2 linked regions of the Sus scrofa genome follow. The protein of the gene in region 2 interacts with the protein of the main gene of each other region in a pairwise test. Links are inferred from orthologs where the notes say so. Each region holds a gene or a part of one and is shown on either strand. Other genes may lie near its edges.

Region 1 (3,888 bases), on a different chromosome or scaffold from region 2:
CAATCTTCCAGTTATAAAATAAATAAGGCATGAGAATGCAATGTATAGCATGAGTACAGTTAATAATACTGTATCATATTTAAAAGTTGATAAGAGAGTAGACCTTAAGAGTCCTATTCGAAGAAAAAATTTTTTTTAATCTAAGTATGGTAATGGATGTTAACAGGACTTGGTGATCACTTTACAATATAAACAATATCAATTAATGTTGTACACCTGAAACTGTCAATTATACCTCAATTTAAAAAATTTTAAAGCATACCTCTCCGTATGAACCCAACACCAGTTTTATTAGCTTCAAAAGACACAAAACGGCAATACAGCACCTAGCCAGAGAGGAGTTAACTCAAGAAATTTTTTAACATCGCAGCTGCAGTTTCAAGGCATTTCCACCCAATCATGGGGTCCCTTAGTCACAAAAAATAAAGTTGAAGTGGAAAGTTCCCCTATATTCCTAATATACCTTTTATGCTTTGGAAGAAAAAACAAAGAAAATTTACTCATAATCCCCAAACCCATTCCTCTCTGCACGCACAAGTAGAAAGCACTGAAGTTAGGTTCCCAGATTCCAAATTCAGGTTCGCAGTAACTGCGGAATCTTAGGTGTTACCAGCCTACACCTTAGTTTTGCCAGTTGCAAAATGGAGATAATAGTACTTACCTTTTATGCTGTGTGAGGATTAAATGAATTCTGGTAGAGTGTGGTTCGGTGCTTGGAACATAGTAGGCGCTCAAATGCTACGGCAACGTTGCAGGTTTCTCATTTTCGAGTACATTCCCTTAGTATCTTATCCGAGACTGCGCTAAGCCCCAGAACCTCCAGGCTAAAACCTAGCTCCCGCCTTCAGCTGGACACTGCCGGCTGGTGGGGACGCTGGCGACGGCATTAAATGACTGCTTAAGTAGCAGAAAGGATTAATGCCTATTAACCTAGCTTTCTCCTAAAAGTATTTCTACTGTCCCCAAATCCTGAGTTTTTACCGAAACCCAGCGAGTTAGCATCTTCAGCTGCCTAGCAACTTTCTGAACTTGCAAATGAGCGACTTATGTTTTTGCGCAGGCGTTTTGGGTGAATTGTAGCGGGAGGTCCTAGCACCGCCTCTTCCGGCAGGCGCGGGCGCCGATTGGTCCTCGTGACCAGTATAAGAGGCTGCGCGCAGGCGCGAGGAATCCCTTTCCTCAGCTGCCGCTAAGGTGCTCGGTTCTTCCGAGGAAGCTAAGGCCGCGTTGGGGTGAGGCCCTCACTTCATCCGGCGACTAGCACCGCGCCTGGCAGCCCCCACCTAGCATTGGTCCGCACCATGGCTTCCGTCTCGGAGCTCGCCTGCATCTACTCTGCCCTCATTCTGCACGACGATGAGGTTACGGTCACGGTAAGTGTTGGCCTGGGCTGGCGGCGAGGCGGCCTACGGGTGGCCGGCTCCCCACCCTCGAGGGCGTCGCGGGCAGGCCCTTAGGGCTGGAGCCGCGGCTATCCACACCACGGCACAGGGCCGGAGGGATCGGGCGCACGTGCCGGGCGGCCTGGGTCTCGGCCATGTGCAGGCCCGGGAGGGAGTGGATTTCACTTTCGGCGTCGCGCTCTGGCTTTGAGAACCTTTATTTGGAGAAACTTGTGCAGCGCGTCGGCAGGCTCATCTGTAGCTTGTTATATCCCAGGACTTTTTATACCTCTTCTTGGTGTGATTGCTTTGCCTGTGGTTCTGTTAGTAGGCCTTGTGGGGCTTGGCCGCGTGGTGTGGAGGGGAGCACTCGAGCCCTGCTCCACTTCTGGCCTTGCCTCGCGACTTAAAATAGCTGCGTGACTTGAGCAAGACCCAGCCTGGGAAATGGCAGGGATGGACTCGCCGCCTAGTAAAGTATCTGGCATACAGGAACAGAGGCTTTTTTCTTTCTTTTTTTTTTTTCTTAGTGACATTCTTCACAAGAGTGTAAAAAACGGTCGCCTTAAGCCTAGGTGCAGTGCCAGTAGGATATTTGAACTGGTTAAACTGGTTTTGTACCCAGGTTTTGAGTCATTTGCTTTCAATTTGCAGTATTTTGGAGACATGTATGGAAGCTATACATTACTCTGATGGATTGTTATTTTATTTGTTTTAGGAGGATAAGATCAATGCTCTCATTAAAGCAGCAGGTGTAAATGTTGAGCCATTCTGGCCAGGCTTGTTTGCAAAGGTAAGGTGATGGCGGCAGAATGATTTGGAGAAACTAATTTTGGAAGACTTACTGATTTATTAAGTCAGGTATTAATTTAATCTCCAGGAGTGCCAGGAGGCCCCATGTTCCCCTGGACTTGTCCAAGTATAGGCAGTATTTCCTCACATTTCTATCTCTAAGAGCTAATTAAGTTTTTGGTGTCATGTCTTATTTTCTGGTCTCAGACTTCACTTTCTTCTGTTATAAAACCACGATAGAATATGTACTAAGCAGATAATCCCTTCATAAAAGGATCACCCAGGAGATAATAATATTTGTGCTATTCCAAGTAAACTGCCACCATAGAAATTGGTGCGGTGGTCTTTTACTGAATACTTAAAGACTAGTGAGTACAGCATTCCTACCCAAGGAACTTGGAAAGAATTCCTAGTTTGAGTGTTTTAAGGAAGCTTAGGGTGTCTTCCAACTCGTTAAGTATTTTGGGGCCAGTTTTTTCATCTATAAAAGTAAGCAATTCAGTGACTCTTGATTAAAGTATAGCTGTCCTGTCTAAGTAGCAAACAAAATGTCACTGGCAGATTCCAGCAAAGGTGAAGAAAGAGAAATAGGTACAGTGTTGGGATTGATTACTAAGTTCAAAAGGAGTTCCATTTTTCCCTGGTGGGTACTATAAGAAAAGAACAGAACTGAACATTAACCTGTATATGCATGTGTTGCAGGCTCTGGCCAATGTCAACATCGGGAGCCTCATCTGCAATGTGGGGGCTGGTGGACCTGCCCCAGCAGCTGGTGCTGCACCAGCAGGAGGTCCTGCCCCAGCCACCACTGCTGCCCCAGGTAGGAAACTTGTTTCAGGAGGGAGGAGTGTGGAGATTGAGTATTATGGGCAAAATTGTTCTTCATTTGCTAAGAGTAGCTGATATATAGAAATCCTAAATCCAGAGGCATAGTTTGATAAGGGAAGTTAAGGGTATTTTTGACCATGTCAGTTGAAAGGCCTGGAGTTTGAGAGGTAATTGACTTTATATTAATTTTTTATTTTTTATTTTTATTTTTTTAGCTGAGGAGAAGAAAGTAGAAGCAAAGAAAGAAGAATCTGAGGAGTCTGATGATGATATGGGCTTTGGTCTTTTTGACTAAACTTCTATAACATTCGATAATAAAAAGCTGAGCTATTCACTGATGTTGGTCTTGATAATTCTGGGGGTGTTGCTATGTAAAGATAGCCACTGGCTTTGTCTTTTGCCATGGCAGAAACTCTGCAGCATCACAAACTGTATGGGGAGGCAGGAGAAGGTTCAGATTGTCCACATTACCCACATGACTTCATGATTACAGAGTTTATCCTCTATACCTGAATCTGAGTTAGAGTCACTAGACCTCAGATTTAGAGAGCCCCTTGGATAATTTCCAAGTGTGATCCTGGCTAAAAATTTTTGACCTGTGCTGAGCAATATGAATTAGAATATTAATTGTCACATCCCTTGGGTTTAGTTCAACAATACTGAAGGAGTGGGGGAAGTTCAGGTTAAGGTCTCAGTTATACCAAGTGAATGAAGCCAAATTTCAAACCTGTATTTTGAAAAGCTAACAAGTAGAATAGCTTTTGGGGAGGATGTGACAGAACAATGTCAAGTGTAAATTGGTTCACTTTTCAAAGTGCCAGGGACCAACCTAGGACTTGGATTTATAACATCTTGCCCTTACCTCTGTGCATTTATTGATAAGGAC
Region 2 (4,347 bases):
TAAAGATAGCTATAACACATCTCTACTGCAAAAGCCAGCTCTCACATCAATGAAGAGATGCCATCAAGATGAAATTTAAGAATTTTCAGAGTTCCCGTCGTGGCGCAGTGGTTAACGAATCTGAACAGAAACCATGAGGTTGTGGTTCGGTCCCTGCCTTGCTCAGTGGGTTAACAATCCAGCGTTGCCGTGAGCTGTGGTGTAGGTTGCAGACGCGGCTCGGATCCGGCATTGCTGTGGCTGTGGTGTAGGCCGGCGGCTACAGCTTCGATTCAACCCCTAGCCTGGGAACCTCCATATGCCGCAGGAGCGGCCCAAGAAATAGCAAAAGAAAAAGAAAAAAAAAAAAAAAAGAAAGAAAGAAATTTAAGAATTTTCAGCTGTGAGTGCCAACCCAAGACACATGTACTATTTCCATCATACTGTGAGCTTGGTAAAGCAGGGACTATACCTAACTTCCTCACCACTATAACCAGCATTATTATGCCCACTGCCTGCTACAAAGTAAGCATTCATGCAGTATTTCATGCAACATTTCCTAATAAAATATACTGGAGAGAAAACTTTTCAATTCAGACCGTTACTCACCCAGATGAACTGAGTTCACAACACACTTCTGACTACTGTGTTTATGTAGGAAAGGAAAAGTACTGCAAATCCATCAATCCCTAACCTTAATGGAGCAAAAATTAAAACATTTCATCAAGTGTCTTCCATATGATGGCCTGATATGAACTGATCCAGCAATCAAAGTAAATCAAGGGAGTTCCCGTTGTGGCGCAGTGGTTAACGAATCCGACTAGGAACCATGAGGTTGAGGGTTCGGTCCCTGCCCTTGCTCAGTGGGTTAACGATCCGGCGTTGCCGTGAGCTGTGGTGTAGGTTGCAGACCCGGCTCGGATCCCGCGTTGCTGTGGCTCTGGCATAGGCCAATGGCTACAGCTCCGATTGGACCCCTAGCCTGGGAACCTCCATATGCCGCAGGAGCGGCCCAAAGAAATGGCAAAAAGACAAAAAAAAAAAAAAAAAAAAAGTAAATCAAGGGTAAACTTTGAGTTCTAGCCTTAATTACCACTGAAAGTAATACAGAGGTTGTGCTTTCATACTTTTTAAAAGAACATTTGCCTTTTCCACTTCATGGGAATAGTATAAGGATTTTTTAAAAATGTGACATGTAATTTAAATGCTATTATTATTTTTGCTTTTTTAGGGCCACACTCGTGGCATATGGAGGTTCCCAGGCTAAGGGTCTAATCAGAGCTACAGCTGCCGGCCTATGCCACAGCAATGCCAGATCAGAGCCACATCTGTGACCTACACCACAGCTCATGGCAACGCCAGATCCTTAACCCACTGAGCAAGGCCAGGGATGGAACCCGAAACCTCATGGTTTCCAGTCGAATTCGTTTCCGTTGTGCCACGATGGGAACTCCTAAATGCTATTACTTTTAACATCTAACACCTACAAAATTAACATGTATATATAACAATCTACAAATTTCAGATTTCATAAACCCAACATTTTTATTATCTAAATTTCCAAGCCGGCACCTATTTACACAAATTAAACAACAATAACCATCTTTTCAATTTCAAATAGCTTTTGAGGAAGGAAAGTTTATTTGAATATAAAACAGAAATAATCTAAAGTGTCCAACCAAAACACCAGTATCAGTAAATCCTTGCACCTTTTAAATACTGACCAGCATAAACTGGCCGTTTTCCTTCATTAGGGTCAGCACCATGGTGCCTCCCAAACTCTCAGAAATGATTTTTTTTTAATATACTGATAATTTCTTGAGCCACAATTCCCTGCCACTGTGAGATTACTTTCCAGAGTGAATTCGAAATGCAATGGCTTGAAGAGCTTAAACAGAAAGATACTGAAAATAAAATGCGGCCCACAACGGGTTCTCTGAAGCTACATTTTAGTCTTCATGGTCTGAAAGTCCAACCACAATGAAAGCCCCAGTACCTTCCCAAGTTGGGTCCTTTTCGGGCGCTTGAATGCTGTTGCTGCGGCAGAAAAGGACATGTGAATGCTTAAGGGCATGAATAAAATGTGGTATATCCAGGAGCTAAACCGCAATAAAGTAAAAGAGGAAAAAAAGGAAATCGCGCGTTATAGCTAGATCTCGAAAGCTTACTATTAGAGTAACGCGAAAAACTGCAAAAACGACGTTACATTACACCACGCATACCAAATAAAACACTCAGAACAATGTCAAATACATGGTGCTGAAGAAAGAAAACCACGGTTTGCGGTTGGTTATCTCCAGAGAGGTGGGGAAAGAACGAGTTCAAGGCAAAAGGCTTTTCTCCTACAATGACTGCAGAGGCACGTGAATAAGCCTTCTTTTCAGAAAAGAGAAAACCCTCTCAGGTAGGACTCAAGTCCCGCGGTGCTGGAGGGCGAGGAAGGAGCCTGTGGGAACTAGAAAGGCGCATCCCGCAGAGCTAGAGTGTGGATAGTGAGGAGGCGCGGAGCCCGCCGGGGGCGCGCCGGAAGGAGAAAATTGAAGCCTCCAGGAGAGCTCACGAGGAAGGTGATGCCGACCAGGCAGCGTGCTAGGGCCATGCCACACTTACAGGTTGATGGTGCGCTCCAGGGTGAGGGGCTTGGTCTGCTGGATGTACTTGTTGCCATACTGGTTGACCCCCCGGGGCCAGCCGGTCTGCGAGCGATTGGGCGGCACCACAGACATGCTAGCGAGCTCCCGGTACTAGCAGCGAGCGGAAAGAGGGAGGCAGGGAGACTTTTCCTGTGCGGGCAGCGGTCCTCAGCGTCCCACTCAGCAGCCGCCGCCCGCCATTAACAAGCGAGCACAAGAGGAGGCGTACGTACGCCGGAAGTGAACCCGAAGCATCTGGCGGCAGGAAGTAGAGAGGCGGTGGCCTGCCCGACCGAGCACCACTGAGCCAATCGCTGGTGGGATGGCCGCAATATCTGGCGCTCCTATTGGTAAACCAGCTATGGGTTCCGCCTCCTCTTTCTTTGGTACTTCCTATTGGATAGCCCTGGGAACCACGGAAAGTCGGCATTCTGGAAGGTCTCTGTAGGAAAATAATTGCTTGATCAGTGTGGCGTGGGTCTTGTACATTGCGAAGAGATGAATGGGAAACGGTCGACTGAGCTTGGCCCTGGTCGGGCGGGAAAAAAAGTAAAGAAGGAGGTGATGGCGAATATTTCGGATGCTGTCACGGAGGAAACCTTGAAAAAGCAGGTGGCTGAGGCCTGGAGTCGTAGGACGCCGTTCCGTCACGGTAAGCGAGATCTGAAGGGGGAGGCGCAGCGCAGGCTTGGGGCCTCTGAAAAAGTCCTGGCACCCGAGCTAAGTGCTGAGCAGCGGGACTACAAGGGAAGAGGCTTTTGGAGAGAGTGTGACTTTGGCCACCTCCGACTCCTTCCTAGCCTGCTGTTCCCTTTCAGTCCAAGTTCAGTTTGGATTTAGAAACTTAGGAGAGGAAGAAATGTAGGCCAGGCAGTTTCCGGGAAGTAGAGGGCATGCAAGTTCATAGAAATTCTGAAATTTGGGATTACTGAGTTACACTCTTCCCCATTGACTGCGCGTAGCTGGGCAATGGGTTCAGCTCCTTCCTGTGTAAAGTAAGATAACTAATATTCATTACCTCGAAAAGATGTTGAATGAGATTAATAAACTAATATATGTATGTATCAATATATATTTTCCTGAATAAGGACCAATAAACATTTGGACACACACTTAAGTGGCTTTTGCGGTTTTTATTCCAAGGGTACTGCTGGTTTGTCCAGTGGTAGCGTAGCCAGAGCATTTATTGGGAGCTGCCAGATGGCTGGCACCTGAGCTTAATTTTACTGGCCTGTAGTTCAACATGACCATGAAAGTAAACATGTTTTGACCAAAGGAAGGAACCTGCATCGAACGATTCCAGCCTCAGCTTCAGCCATGTAGGATAAGAATTCTGCATAATGCATCATGCTTTCCCTTCGAAAGCTTGCCATGTTTTTTGCTTCAATGGTTAAATGCTTTAAAGAGGTGAGTCCCAGGTGTCCGGATGCACATAGAAAGTGACAGCTTAGTGTTCAAAGTGTGAGCTCTGTACACTCAGCAGACTTTTCACTTTCCTTACATGGGGGAAAAAGATAGTGATGATGTCTACCTTAGGACTGTTGAAACAATTAAATGAGATAATGCATGTAAAGCCCCACTGTACCTGGAACCTGGTGGGTTGTGGTGGGTTTTTAGAAGGTTACTCAATCTCTCCTACCAGAGACAATGGGTAAAGGGTTGAGGTAAAACTCAAGGAGTTAGGGGAGGTTATGCCTGACCTAATTTAAAAAAAAGTGTATTCTATAACTAACTC

What was found. The genes of interacting proteins can lie anywhere in the genome.
Region 1: the proteins of NUDT21 (region 2) and RPLP1 interact in a two-hybrid assay, tested with the Homo sapiens proteins (2 studies listed by BioGRID and IntAct). The link is inferred for Sus scrofa from reciprocal best matches to the Homo sapiens genes NUDT21 and RPLP1.

What each region holds. Positions count from the first base shown.
Region 1 is NC_010443.5:167,294,925-167,298,812, forward strand, and holds RPLP1 (60S acidic ribosomal protein P1), read left to right. Parts: upstream 1-1,159; 5' UTR 1,160-1,301; coding exon 1,302-1,373; intron 1,374-2,100; coding exon 2,101-2,175; intron 2,176-2,876; coding exon 2,877-2,994; intron 2,995-3,217; coding exon 3,218-3,297; 3' UTR 3,298-3,340; downstream 3,341-3,888. UniProt on the Homo sapiens protein: Plays an important role in the elongation step of protein synthesis.
Region 2 is NC_010448.4:29,338,363-29,342,709, reverse strand, and holds the start of NUDT21 (cleavage and polyadenylation specificity factor subunit 5), read right to left. Parts: upstream 2,818-4,347; 5' UTR 2,706-2,817; coding exon 2,590-2,705; intron 1-2,589. Other genes in the region: prolyl 3-hydroxylase OGFOD1, read left to right, coding at 3,111-3,264. UniProt on the Homo sapiens protein: Component of the cleavage factor Im (CFIm) complex that functions as an activator of the pre-mRNA 3'-end cleavage and polyadenylation processing required for the maturation of pre-mRNA into functional mRNAs.